Linked DNA regions of Mytilus edulis. The protein of the gene in region 1 interacts with the protein of each later gene in a pairwise test. Links are inferred from orthologs where the notes say so. Each region holds a gene or a part of one and is shown on either strand. Other genes may lie near its edges.

Evidence for each region.
Region 2: the proteins of ubiquitin-conjugating enzyme E2 variant 2-like (region 1) and putative deoxyribonuclease TATDN3 interact in a two-hybrid assay, tested with the Caenorhabditis elegans proteins (2 studies listed by BioGRID). The link is inferred for Mytilus edulis from reciprocal best matches to the Caenorhabditis elegans genes uev-1 and B0432.8.

What each region holds. Positions count from the first base shown.
Region 1 is NC_092348.1:73,767,582-73,775,866, reverse strand, and holds the start of ubiquitin-conjugating enzyme E2 variant 2-like, read left to right. Parts: upstream 1-4,933; 5' UTR 4,934-5,018; coding exon 5,019-5,040; intron 5,041-8,285. UniProt on the Caenorhabditis elegans protein: Involved in protein ubiquitination, but has no ubiquitin ligase activity on its own. The uev-1-ubc-13 heterodimer catalyzes the synthesis of non-canonical poly-ubiquitin chains that are linked through Lys-63.
Region 2 is NC_092353.1:84,482,192-84,489,648, reverse strand, and holds putative deoxyribonuclease TATDN3, read right to left. Parts: upstream 3,122-7,457; 5' UTR 3,061-3,121; coding exon 2,977-3,060; intron 1,810-2,976; coding exon 1,060-1,809; 3' UTR 1,014-1,059; downstream 1-1,013.

The sequences.
Region 1 (8,285 bases):
TTGGGTAAGTGCAACGGCTACTGGATTTCATTACCCGCCATGATCACTCAATGTTCTTATAGTTGCGCAAATATTTATTAGGTTTAAAGATGTTACAAATTATTTAAATCTTTTAAAGATGCCCTATGCATTATTGTCCAATTGGTATATTTTCCATTTCGTATTAAAACATATTTATTCCTACTCCTGGAAATTCAAAGTTAAAACAAATTCAATGGTCATGCATGTTAAAAGAAACAAGTTAGACTGCACTGTAATTGTATATTCCTCCCCAATATGTTAATTGTCCAACTTTTAATTCTTGAATAAAATATAAATGTACTGATAGTACATAAATGCTATTTCAAATAAAGGGAGGGGAAGTACGCGACTTTTTTTATAACTTTAAAGAGGCCCCTCATGGGGGGGTCCTAGTAATCACATAATCACCATTTTTTTGCCAATATAATCACATAATCATTAAATATTTGCTTATCTTTAGTAATCAAATAATCATAAACTAAAAATACAGTCCTAGGTAATCAAATAATCATGAAATTTTTGGCTTAATAATCAAATAATCATTAAAAAAAACGGCCAAGTAATCACATAATCAAAAACCCCATGAGGGCCCTCTTTAAACTTCAGAAATCAGATGGTATTTAAATGATGGAAAATAACGCAAAACCCTACTTTTTTATAAACTTTTTTCTACCGTGTGGTGTTACATAAGTGTGAACAAGTTTAAGATGATTTTGCAGCTGCTAGATTTGGTTAGAATGTATACAAGAATAAACAACGTAAACAACCGATTTCAAGAAAACATATAATTGTTTATCCAGAGACTGTTTATCCTTATAAAAAGAAGTTGATTTCTGGAATAAAACTTTAATATATACATGTACAAGGCAACAAAAGAAATAATTACAAGGCAATGCATTTTGCATATAATGTAATTAGATTAGATGTATGTTTCATTATAATACACTATTCTGATTGGCTGACTGCAATCTCACATTATTCCTTAATCAACTTCATTACACAATAAAATTTATCATTCATGATGACACGAGGTCCCACAATAAAGTGCACATGTAAATAAAAAAAACTTGGTAAAAATCGTGTTTTCGTGATCCTAGCTAAAAAAAAAAGTAATTATAAGTATTAAATGCTTCTTTTTGTAACTACATTAGCGGTTGTAAAAGTGGTGCCCGTGCTAACATTTTTAAAATGATCTTCGGTCAACGCTTTTACATCCCAATGAAGTTACAAAAAGAAGCATTCAAATCTTAAAATAATAAAATTGGATACAGTGTACCAAAGCAAATAATTCACCAAATGTTCTAACTTTTACAGTGTTATTTTCTTCTCAAAACCATTGATTTAAGGCAAAAACGCGATTTTTTTTGGTTGTTATTTCAAAAATCGTATTTTTACCCCAAAAATTATAAAAATCGATATTAAAACTTAAAACTTTAAATTTTAAATATTGAATCACTTCGCAGGTATTGAATACTTAAATCTCATCTTTGAAATGAAGTGCCGACTTTTGGCATCATTTTCCGCAAAATAACTTTGGCCCGTCGGTGTTTAAAAACTCGGTAGATTCTAACTTTCCAATTTGGTCAGATTATTTTAGTCATATGTATTTGCCTTGATAATGAATGTTTTCTATTGGATAATTTAACAGATTTCCTTACCTATTATATGTTATGATATCTAGGATTACAAACGTGTGTATCGTTTCTTTTGTTGACATCGGTATTTTTATGAAAGTAGTTGTTTTCCTGTATGAAACTTGTAAAAGTAGTTGTTTCCCGGTTTAAACTTTTTAACCACAATAAGTATACAATAAGAATAACATCAAATAAAAGGGCTTTTGCATTTAGTGTAAGAAAATAATAGATAAAGACAATAGTAGTTTACTGCTGTATAATAGCCACACATCTATTTAATATCTAAAACAAATCTGGTCCACAAACCAAAACTGTGACATCAAATATAAGAGGAAAACAATGGAATAACAGAAACACTGAACTGCTACAAAAAACAAAGGCCAGCATACATTGCACATAGAAACGGACTATTTGATAACAACAACTGCCAAATTCCTGACTAGGTACAGGAAATTTTAAGAAATAGAATAGGACTTTGTATTCTAAGTTGCGGGCTAACAAGAACCATACAAACGTGGGATAAGCACTGTACATAGAGCTTTTTGCCGACAATAAAGACACATAAAACATACACATTAGACATACATAAGATATGCAATAGCAAAATGTTCCTATAAAAACATCTGCACAAACTAACAAAGCACTGAACTACTTTATAAGCACATGCACATCTATTTCTTCAAGCTGCATAGAATACTCCAAAAAATATCAAATCATCAAGATCTGCTGGAGCCCCATGCGCATGATCGAGTTGTCTTTCCAGTTTTTGATAATACTTTTAAACTGGTTCATGTTCGTCTGCGAACGGATCTCGCCAGGTAGCTTCTTTCAGAGTGAAACTCCAGTATGAAGCATGAATTAACGAAGACTAACATTTGTGTTCTCTCCTATAGTACTTCAACAGTGCAATGCATTACGTACATGAGGGACATGTACATCACCCCATGCCGCTGAAATTATATTCGTTTAAGAACAATTAAGCACAACTTACTTATAAAAACAAATACGACCATACATATACATAACAAATGTACATTTGAAAAACTAACAAAGGAAGACATGATTTGATGTCAATAAATGATTAACTTACCGATATTGGCTCTGTGTCTTAAAAAATAAAAAAAAATGGGGGACAAAGTAAATATGTTCTCTTTCAATAAATTGTATTTCTATGAAATTGACAATCCGGCGACACGTTTGAAAATCAAACGCTTCCAACTTATCATCCAAACCAGAAATATGTGTATATATCTCTCTGGTATTATTAGAAGACCATTACAACTATAATGACTGTTTGGTACAATTGATAAGTCGATCTTTTCGCACCTGAAGACTGCCGGCAAAACATATCGGCACCTAAAAAAAGAACTAAACCCTAAGCGAAACAGTGATATTTCACGATTAAACGACAGAATAGATTAATTATAACTATAGCGTACAATTTAACCCACTGATTATATTTCAGTTTTTTGCATATTTTTGTACGTTAAAGTTGAGATACAAAATTAAAGAAAAATAGTGGCAGGGTATTTATCCATCCCTCGTCAATAACAACAAAAAATCCGGACACTAAGTACATATCTGAGAGTACTTGGCTTGCAGTTACCGATATAGCTCCACAGTGTTTTAAAGCCCCAAAAAATCATGTACCTTAGACCAGAGACATATAGTACATCAATTGTATTATATGTCTCTGCTTAAACTAAATTGAGTTTAATATAAACACATTCTTTCCATTTAATTGTATTTAACGTGATTATTTATTTTTGACAGTAGTATTTTGAAACGTATATCATCTTAATTTTTCTTATTTTATTAAAAGTTTGTTTTATAAATATATTTTCATGTTTTAACCCCTGGACAAAGACACACTTATATCCAAAGTTTTTCTGGCACTGAAAAAAATAACCCCTGGACAAAGAAACTTTATTCTATTTTTAACAATCTAGGATTTTCAAACCTAGCTGGGGGAAACTTTTCTATTAAACAATATCTACCAAGTATTAAACAACGAGTGATTGATCAGTGCACACAGGATCAATCATCAAAAATTCATGATTCATCAAAACTAAAATTTTATCAACAATTTCATAATTCAAAGCAGCGTAGTTCTTATGTTGATGTTCTAAGTAATAGATTAGAAAGGTCATCTCTGTGTAAAATTAGATTGAGTGCACACAATCTTGCTATTGAAAGGGGCGATGTTTAGGTTTAGCCACTGACGAACGAGTTTGTAATGTATGTAAATCAGGTGAGGTAGAAGATGAAAATCACTTTTTACTGAAATGTAAAAAAAATTCAAACTATAGATTTAACTTTAAAAATAAGATATTAAATATACTTCCTACATGTTGTAGTGAAAATCAGCTAAATATTAATAGTTGTATTAATAGTAATTCTTTAAAAGTCCTGAAAGTGACTAGTTCTTATATATATAAATGTCTGATGTATAGAAACGAGATTTTAGTTTCTTAATTATAACATATTTAAATACTAGTAACTGTATGCTGTATTCATTGTTGTAATGCACTGTAATATGGGCCTTTGCCAATTATTGTAATTGTGTTTGTGCCAATAAAATATTTGTAAAATATTTGTATTTTGTATTTGTTTTAGAATTTTATTATGTAGGCTATACACGTCGATTTGTCATTCATTACCGGAAAGAACATTTTACACGTGTAATTTATTAAACGATAGAAAGCATTGGGAATCCAGGTTTGCAACAAAGGACAATAAAATACTCTTAAAGAAGACGGAACAATCGATTAGGAAAATCTCTTCACTATAAATCAATATGTCCAATACGGTTTTTACAAAGTATAAAACTGTCTAGGGGTCGATATAGTAACCAAACTTTTTTTGTACAATTTCAATTTTTGATAATGTAATTCATTCATTGGGGGGAGGGGCAAATTATCGGTTTAGGCCACAGGCACTCGTATCAGAACAGTGGCGGATCCAGGGGGGGGGGGGGGTTCCGGGGGTGCGCACCCCCCCTTTATTTTTGCCGATCAATGCATTTGAATCGGGACATATGTTTTGCACCCCCCCCTTTGCCCTGGGTGCCCTGGGTTAGCACCCCCCCCTTTCGAAAATTCCTGCATCCACCCCTGCAGAATCCCCCCCTTATATACCTGTTATATTAGGTATATGAGAAAAAAAATTCTGAGACAAGTGCCTGTGGTTTAGGCTGTGACATTTAAAAAAAAATTCTAGTGCATGCAGGTTTTGTCGACTTTTCTCCCAAACACAAATAAATTTCTCCCAAACACAAATAATATTTTACACCTGTGACGAATAGCACTCATCCGGATTCGCCCCATTCCTAACTCGGTTCTGATATTACATATAGCAACCATCATGGCGGGTTCCACAGATACAGGTCGAGATCAAAATATCTATTTTTCTAACAGTTTTGCAGAAATTTGTTTTAAAAAAACATGTCAAATGACTTCTATAACACACATCCTAATACTTGACATCTTGAACGAGAGCCCTCTATGTAAATCTTGTTCGTTAAACACTTTGGAATTTCACGCCGGTTTGGTGTCTCCCATTTTCACAACATCATGGTATTTCTTTCATAAAGAATTTAACCAAATTTTGATTTAAGGACACATTTTAAATGTTATTCTAATGATAAAAGGGATAGACTTCGTTTAAATACCCTTTTAACTCAATAAAAGATGCAGTGGTTACATAGTTTACACTAAGAATTTCCTGTTTTAGCCTTGTTAGTGATTCATGATCTTGTTTTTACTAGAGTATAACCAGATACACACAGCAAAATGATGCTGTGCTACCAACTCATTTAATTTCTTCCAAATCATGTTTTGGACCACATTCAAATCTTTTTTCAACAATATTTATGCTCATAATTTACATTTTTAATACAGTAGAGGGACAAACAGACCTTTGTCATGATTAAGATATTTTAGTGTGAATAATGGGATATGGCTTTTATTTTTGAAGGATTTCAGAATAAAACCTTATCAGGACTCGAGAATAAATGATTTTTTGTCAGGAATGTTGGATGACAACCCACTACCTTTCCTCACAGTAGAATCGCCTGTTTCGATATACATTTGTACAACAGTTGATATCATAAATTGCATTACCTAATTACTTCATATCCATAATGTTACTGTACATGGATATTATTTGTCTTGTGCCTGTTTAGTCAAAACAAGGGGTTCCCTAATTTGGAACACATCTGTCAAATTCTCAATATCAATCAGATATGGTGATCATGAAGTCACACCTACAGAATATTGCATGAACTAAATTACATGAACTGTAAAAGTACATTTATGACATCAATTTGCTCCCTTTTACCCAATTATTGTTTTTTTTTAGTTTGCCAAAGACTAGTCATTGTAAAGATCTTAGTTACTGTTACTGCTTATATTAAGTTTTGAATAGTGTTTCTTTTGCAACAGACATGGCAGTTGATTCCTGTACAATTTTCAGAAATAATGTTTTTGGTAGAAACTTTTGAATTTATTGATAAAAGTACCGTTAAATAAACATGATAAATATGTATCATATTTTTTTTGAGGCACCAGAAACCTCTAGGACAAAAAGAAGTAGCTGTAGCTTACGATTAAGACATGGATATTTAATCACATACACAATCTATGACAAACAAATGAATTATTTAAAAAACAACTTTTTTCATGATTGAATTATTCATTATCTTATGCATGTTACACATAAAACAAGGAGATGTGGTATGATTGACATTGAGAAAACTATCCATCAAAGTTGAAATGAAGTGCATGACATGTAAACAATTATACTATGAGTATGGCAACTGTATAGCCTTCAAAATGTTTAAATTCACAGTAGCTACATTTTATTCAAAAAGATAAACTATGTTAGGAATAATATCATTCAAGAAAAGGGGTGTTATGAAAAAATAGTAAAAACAACCATGAAAATTTGAATCAACCAATATTTGCCAGTATTGACCACTTGGGGAGTATTATTCGGGGCGGTAAATTCCGGTAAATACCAGGCGTGGTATTTACCGCCCAACCTTGGAAATAGCTTTTCTTCAATCAAACATTAAGCATGTTATTAATTTACAACAGGTAATCCATTTGATATCCCACATGTACACAATGTATACTAGCTAATGTAGGAAGAAAAAATACTATGATTATAATCTTGATTTCATTTACAAAACAAATGTATGTATTATGAAATTGAGAATGAAAACAGGGAATGTGTCTAAGAGACAACAACCAGGCCAAATAGCAGAAGGCCACCAATTCAAGGGTCTTCAACACAGTGAGAAAATCCTCTACTCTGAGGCGGGCTTCATGATCAGCTGCCTTTAAACAAAAATGTGTTAAAGTTCAATGAAAATGTATGATGGATTAAAACTATACTGATCCATGTTCAGTGGTGAAAAGATTTTGAAGAAATATTGATAAAAAATGTTAGGCTCTTGACTCAAAACTAGGGTCTACTATAAATATGTTTGCCACAAGGAATAAAATAAATCCATCAGTTTCTTTGTTCTCCCTAGAATTTAAAAAAGCACCATTGAAATTATCATAGCAGCACTGGTTTTCCAAAAACAATAACGTACCATGGCCCCAGGCTCTATACAATCTGTTATAAAATCCAAGATAGAACCATGGTAGAAAATATAGCATGCTGGGGGCAAACACTAATTCAATTTTTTGTCAAAAGGGTGAGTCTGAATTTCCATCACAAATTAATGACAAAATATTTTTAGACTTTATTTTTTTTATTGACAACCATTCAAAATATTACCTAGACAATCAAATCAATACATATTAGTGGAAGATACTTCATATAATCATTATCTTGTCTAATGAGATTTTAATATTGACTAATTGTTAATACCCTGTGTACAGTTAGTACCATTACTTCATACTTTGCTGGTAACAATGTAGACCCACGGCTAGTACAAAATGTACCATCAATGGAAAACATCACTGATACAATGTATTTATTAAAGCAGAACTGAAACTCTTCCTTGTTTGACATTTATTGTTAGCTTTACAAACTTTTAAGTAAGACTATAATCATTAACAAAGTACTGTAAATTCAGAAATTATTGTGTGTATTTATTATTGCGATTTTGTCAGTTTAGACTTAAATGCAATTTTAATTTTTACGATTTTGAAAAAAATCCTGTTTAACATGTTTAAATAATATTGCCTTTACAACTCTGTCACATTTTTCTCAATAATAAAAACGTCGCATTAATTTCAGAATTTACAGTACATGCAATTCTGAATTCAGTCTAATTATATAACATCACTCTGAATGGAGTTTGCATGAGTAACTGTGAAATATCTTTGCGATTGCCAATGAGACATTTATCAACTAGAATCAAATGATGTAGATGTTAACATATATGTGTTTATTGAATAATCTGTATATTAAAATAACAAGTCTAAAAGGGTATATATACAATAATATATATAAATATATATAATCATGAAATACATAGTTGAGTCCCCAGGTGTAAAGATGACAATACTAAGCAACTGATTACATTATTTTAATCCACTTCTCTAAAAATTGACAACTTCTCCAATTTCTCTGCATGAAGAGTCACATCTCCCTCTCCAAATATCCTAGATAAGA
Region 2 (7,457 bases), on another chromosome or scaffold:
TAAATTGTTAGTGTTCATTGTGTTGTTGTAAAAGGTCTCATTTCGTATACGGAACTCGGCAATAACATATAAAAATAAATTATGATTTGGATGGAGAGAAATATATAGATATACATTATTGCGTATGTGTGTTTCTGTGCGAGTATGTTTTTGTGTCGGTGCGAGTATTTTTATGTGCATGGTAGTATATGTTTATTTATGAGTTTAGTTTGATACCCAACAATTTGTATGTGTTTTGTTACTGTTGCAAAGAAAATGTGCAATTTTATAATCATTCTTGTTTATTGTTAAATAAATATAACTCTTTAATGCATTGTTTAATTATTTTCCATGCATTGGACTTTCACCGGATTCTTTAGGCTATTCGTTCATGCAATTCGGAGCAGTAGTATACCGCTGTTCGAAATTCATAAATCGATAGAGAAAAAACAAACCCGGGTTGCAAACTAAAACTGAGGGAAACGCATCAAATATAAAAGAACTACGACACAACAGAAACATAACATTAAAATGTAACACACAAGAAACAAACTATAATATAACAATGGCCATTTTCCTGACTTGGTACACAATTCTTTGCTGTTTTTTTTCCAGAAAATATAAGTTAATCTTGCTGTTTTGAAGTTAGTCAGGAGATAACTGTATTGTATTTTAAGCTCCGAAGGCATCAATTGGGAATTAATTTGATGATCGCAATTAAGTTTACTGGCGACGCGTAATTTTTTTGAAGTAGTTGTATTTTGTTTACGAGTTTCGTCAGGGTTGTCAAAACATGAAACACATTTGTTGGACAATAAACAAGAAAAATTGAGGACATTTTTCCTTTCACCATGTTTACCATGCTGTCCTGAACATATTACAACACCGATTTATTGGTTTTGACAAAATATGCACTAAAAAGATGGAGAAACAAACAGCATGTACAGTCGAAATAGGAAGAAACCTCATGATGATGATATGATCTGTTTTAAAAAAAAAAACATATCTACATATGAACCGAAATAAATAACCCGTTTTACTATCATGACTTTAATTTACTTTACTCAAAAAAAATTATGATTATTTTACAAACTTTTTCAATTTGGGGAAAAGTTTTAATGCGTTTGAAGACGTAATTCTCCGGACTTCAGAAGTGTCCATATTCTTGACCTTGGCGATGTACTCACAAGAAATATGTAAATTAGACGGATTATTCCTTATCCCTTTCTCTGGTCCGAGCCCGGGCGAGTCTGTTTCCAACAGCATATTGTCAATCGGTACTTGTTTTACTAACTTTTCCTGATCATTTCGAACTATAGACGGAGGAATAGAGAAATAAAACCCCTCTCTAACACCCTCCATTGCTACAGCTGGACGCCCATCAAATGCGTGCATTACAACGTTTCGAGCGCCAAACTCCTTCAAAGCTGCTATAGTCGGGCGACCAGCAGAACGAGAGTGAACATTAATGGGTAAATCAAACTTTTTTGCCATCTCAACTTGTAATCGTAAAACTTCCTTCTGAACATCTTTATCACTTGGATTTTTACAGACACGTGGTTGAAAATCTAAACCTATTTCACCAATTCCACACAGAATGTCTACGTGTTTCTCTATTTCTGGGAGAGCTGCTTCAATGTCTGCAAGTGTCACACTTCTTTGGTCTTCGGTTCCTCTTTGGACCGGATGTACACCAAGGCATGGTGACAAGATGTCTCTATACTTTAGTGATATATCTAGAACTTTGGAAAAATCCTCTAGACCTATTGGAACTACAACTATTGCACTTACGCCATCTTTCTTTGAATTTGCTACAACTTCTTCCAGATCCTGAAAAAAACTACATGTATTACTTGTTTAGTCAATGTATTGACTTTGAATTTAAGGACGAGGAATAATTTGTATATGAACCCGAAATCCCAGTCTTAAAAACATGAAATTCTGAGGTCCCGAATTTAAAGAAAATTTAAATCCAGACATCACGAAATACGAAAAAAAATACCGGATCACGAAAGGATCAATCTCCAAATCCGGAGCTTAAAAACACCCGATCCCCGGCGACGTCCCATAAAAGGTTCAGCACCCTCTCTATTATCATTGAGCGAAAAATCCAGGAGTCTGTAGTCTAGAAGGAAGGGAGGTATACATGTAAATATACATCCATTCCAAGATGATTGCCTCCTACTATTATACATATTATCATGGATCCGGATCGACGAGCGAAATGCGCTTTGGGAATGACCACCCTCCCATTTTCTACATACGTGAAATATTCTGTGGCGGATCCAGCCATTTTAAAAAGGCGGGGTTCCCAACCCAGAATAAAGGGGGGGGGAGGTTCCAACTATATGCTCCCATTCAAATGCATTGATCGGACCCCCCCCCCCCGGATCCGCCACTGCATATTTGTTTGAATTGTGTTTGGTCATGATGATTTGTTATTTTTTAAAACTTATTTTTTGAGTTCTTGGTCTTCAGTATCCATACGATATCACAATACCAGGGTTGAGTTCAATATCCGTAGCGGCTACGTAGCTGCTATCTACATGTAACAACTAGTTTATAGCTACACGTCCAATAGTCAAAATCTAAGTAGCAGTGCCACTACGTAGCTGCTACGATATTTAACGCAATATATATGACCCTCCTCTATTCTTATATAAACTACTGTCATTGTAATTTCGAATATAGATAAGAGTAATATAAATCAATATTTATACAATAAATAAGTTAAAATAAGTTAAAATATTTAAAAGAATATTTTTATGAATGAAGACACATACTTTTTGTGGTATAGAAAAGGTTGATCCACTCGCCAAGCTTGGCAAGGCAGGATTCTGTGTTTTAAATCAAATATCTAATCGAATCTTTTAGTATTCAATATGATGAAAACGTCATTATTTGAGAACACAGGAGTTACCTCCCATATTTGTATGGCTTCTTTCTCTCTATCCTAAACTAAAAGTGAGGGTAACGACTAGTTTAACTTTTACTTACCTTATCAAACATATCATCAGCTAGATGACAGTGACAATCTATGTATCCAAGTTCATGTGAATCGTTACACAGTTCTTCCTCCATTTCTCTTCTGTGTAGTGTACACCAACTTGTAACAACTTTTATAGTTAAGGGGAAATAACTCAATCTTGATATTGCTCAATATTGTGACATTAATGTTTCAGTCTAGGATGAAATTTTACAAATCTCGTTCTATTCTCACCGGGAAGTATTTTTGCCTGTTCATTTAAAAGACCAATCTAGTATCCAAATGATATATCATGACATTTCATGTTTTCTCTCTCTTTTAGGGGACACTCACTGACACTCTTATTAATTGTGAAAAGAGGGGGAGGGCGTTTAATCATTTTCCAGGACCATATATATATATTTGCGAGTTTAAATTGTGATACAGAACTACTATTTCACCCAGTCCATCCTTCAAATCAACATGTTATCCCCCTTAAAAGTAATTTAACTAATATTTGGAGAGAGAAAAAATGCCTTGACAGGGTAAATGTTTTATTGGCGAAGCTAGCCAAAGTGTTAGGACCAAAATATTTATCCTTGATGATTGATAAGGCAAGATATATTTATTTCCAACTTTATAATCATGGTCAGAATATTAAATTACGAAATCTGTCAGACCCCTCCCTGTTGGATTTAAATAGTCTTCCCTTTATTAGCCTCTGAGAGGCACGATTACCACCCATAACCTTACACTACTGTTATTGTAAGAGAAAGACCGCATCACATAGGGGAAATAAGTGGAAATATAATTAAAAGATACCGAAAAACTTACACACAGAAAATTACAACCACTCCAACAACAAAGTAAACTGAGTAAAAATGGATGTCTGTGTCGTAGCCGCCTGATCACGTGTATCTCCCTCCCCAACAACAAAGTAAACTGAATAAAAAAATTTGTAAGGGTTCCACGGAACCCAGCGTCTCGCCTACTTTTGCTGTTAATCGCAGACTCAACAAAAATGAGGAAAAACATCAATAAAAATTTCCATCTCGATACTGTCTTTTGATTGAAAGAAGCTTCCAAGTTTGGTAAAAAATCCAGGATAGTTTATGAATCTAATAAATGTTTTATAAACTTTAACTGCAGACTGTATGTAATGTTAACTGGAAGAAAAACTAAGTCCATTTACATGTATAAGTAAAATACGGAAAACGTGATTTTTTTTTTTTACAAAATTTACTTCTGAATAATATCTTATGATCAGAAACAAGCTTTTGTCTAAGTTTGGTAGAAATCCAGGATAGTTTAAGAACATTATAAAATTTTTTAAAAACTTAAACCACAGAGTGAATGTTTTGTTTCTGGCAAAAAAACTAAGTCCATTTATAAGTAAAATACGGAAAAGTGGAAATTTATTTATTACAAAATTTTCTTCTTGATACTATCTTATGATCATAAACAAGCTTCTGTCCAAGTTTGGTACAAATCAAGGATAGTTTATGAAAGTTATTAAAATTTTAAAAATCTTTAACCACAGAGTGAATGTAATGTTTCCTCGCAGAAAAACTAAGTCCATTTATAAGTAAAATACGGAAAAAATAGAATTTTATTTTTACAAAATTTACTTCTGGATACTTTCTTATGATCATAAACAAGCTTTTGTCTAAGTTTGGTAGAAATCCAGGATAGTTTAAGAACATTATAAAAATTTTAAAAACTTAAACCACAGAGTGAATGTTTTGTTTCTGGCAGAAAAACTAAGTCCATTTATAAGTAAAATACGGAAAAAATGGAATTTTATTTTTACAAAATTTACTTCTGGATACTTTCTTATTATCATAAACAAGCTTCTGTCCAAGTTTGGTAGAAATTCAATATAGTTTATGAAAGTTATTAAAATTTCAAAAACTTTAACCACAGAGTGAATATTTGTGGACGCCGCCGACGACGACGGAATGTAGGATCGCTTAGTCTCGCTTTTTCGACTAAAGTCGAAAGCTCGACAAAAAGGATGTCCGTGTCGTAGCCGCCTGATCACGTGTATCTCCCTCCCCAACAACAAAGTAAACTGAATAAAAAAAGGATGTCCATGTCGTAGCCGCCTAATCACGTGTATATCCCTCCCCAACAACAAAGTAAACTGAATAAAAAAAGGATGTCTGTGTCGTAGCCGCCTGATCACGTGTATCTCCCTCCCCAACAACAAAGTAAACTGCGTAAAAAAAGGATGTCTGTGTCGTAGTCGCCTGATCACATGTATAGAGGCGGAGTCCGTGTTGTAGCCGCCTGATCACGTGTGTAGAGGCGGAGGCCATGTATTTATATATTTAACTCCTCCAAACATTTGACTCTTCGTGTGCGTGTTGGAGAACCATTGTCGGATTAAGTATTTTCAAAAAAGGGAAAGGTAAGTAAAATCAGGGAAATGAACATCCATAGTACTCAGGTAAAGTTCTGCAAGTACCTCAAGTTCAGATCTGTACTTTGTCGTTAGTGGATTGTTTTGCTTTGTATCGATCAGATGTAATTTATAGGTTAGTTTTCATTATTAAATTGTATCACATTTTTCATATTGAGACCTTTTATGAGTCGTTGATTTTTACAAAATTGTGAAAACAACCTATTTTTATCTGGTCTTAAATAAGGTATAGTCTTTCTTCAATGACATTTTTTTGATAGTAGTATATTATTTATGTTTAATAATGAATTGAAAATATATACTCTTTAATAAATGTATTTCTATGTAGGCTACTAATTAGAGTCTACTAAATTGTCAGTTGATAATCAACATTGGTGATCCTTTATTGCCTTTTGCTTGCTGTAATGAAGACACTTACTTCTTTAGATAAAAGTCAGTGCTAGAAATTAAATCCCTCTACCATGATACATGCAGACATCTTAAAACGGAAGCAAAGTTGTTGACACAATGGAGGATAGAGAAATTGCTTCTGAGGAGTCAGTGTCAAAACTCTCATGGGACCAGAGGACAAAAAATTTCTATTAAGCAACTTGTCAGCTTGGTATCTTGACTTCAGCTGTCAACTAAGACCCATGTAAAGTAAAGGTGTGGCTGTGTGAAGAGGTATACCTAAGTTCACTGTCATGTCCAGATATAACCTGTAAAAAACTTAAAATATCTTTTGATATTAGAAACCAGAAAAGAAGATGACAATAACCAACAAAGGTTCAAAATAGTTATTTCTTCAAATAACATGGAATCAACAAACAGATATTTCCTTATAATAAAAAAGACAGATTTGCCTCTTCAAAAACCAACAAAATATGTGAAAATTGTCAAGGAGTATTATCTGTGTTCTGCTACTTACAAAAAACAAGAATGTGTCAATAGTACACGGATGCCCCACTCGCAATATCATTTTCTATGTTAAGTGGACCAAAAAATTTGGGTCAAAACTCTAATTTGGCATTACAATTAGAAAGATCATATCATAAGGCACATATGTATTAAGTTTCAAGTTGATTGGACTCAAAAACTACCTTGACCAAAATCTTTAACCTGAACGGACGGATGGACGGACGGATGGACAGAAGGGCGGACGAACGAAGGCACAGACCAGAAAACATAAAGCCCCTCTATTATCATAGGTGGGGCATAAAAAATAAACATCCAAGACAAAAATATTTCCATTATACATCAGTTTTAAACTTACCCAGAAGAATATATTTGATATAAAGTTGTGACTTTATGGAACCATACCAATAATATCTAAGACAAAGCTTGTTTGTGTGAACCAGCGAAAATCTTTTATATCAAAACCATATGGTGTCTCTAAAAACTGTATCAACACAATGAAATAACTTGAAGGTCAATCAAAAAGGTGGGAAGCACGTCCATAAAATCTCACAAAACCTAGCACTGGACTATATCAAGTAACGGAACAACACAATAACAACAGTCATATCTCTGACTTAGAACATACATTACCAAAGAAAATAGTGAGTTAAACCTGGTTTAATAGCTAGTTTACTAAACAATTAAATACAATACAAAAGAAGTAAAAAAAAAAGAAAAGAAAAAAGGTAAAATCAAGGACAATAATAAGTTACTATCTTTAGATGATTTTTTTATTTCTGGAAAATATTAATAAACATATGTGACAAATCAGTATGTTTATATTAACATATTTCTCAATATCAGCAACAAATAAAACATGTATCAAAAACAATATCAAAATACTTCTACAACAAATACTAAAATCAGGCCTATTTGAGAAATAAGTTGATTTTGGGAGGGAAGATTGGCTTATGTCTGATCTCTTGCTAAAATGATTATATTTGTCCCTAAACTTATAAAGTTGCACAATTACCTACAATTCTGTTGCTATGTAGTATCTACAGTAATAATAATAAAAAAGATAGGAACTAAGTTTACAATTTCAAAGTCAAACAAAATAAACGTTATATAATTACTAAATTCTATTTGTAATTTGGTGCAGAAAGAGTTACTTCTCTTACAGCATGGAGTTATTTTCATATTATACAATTAGAT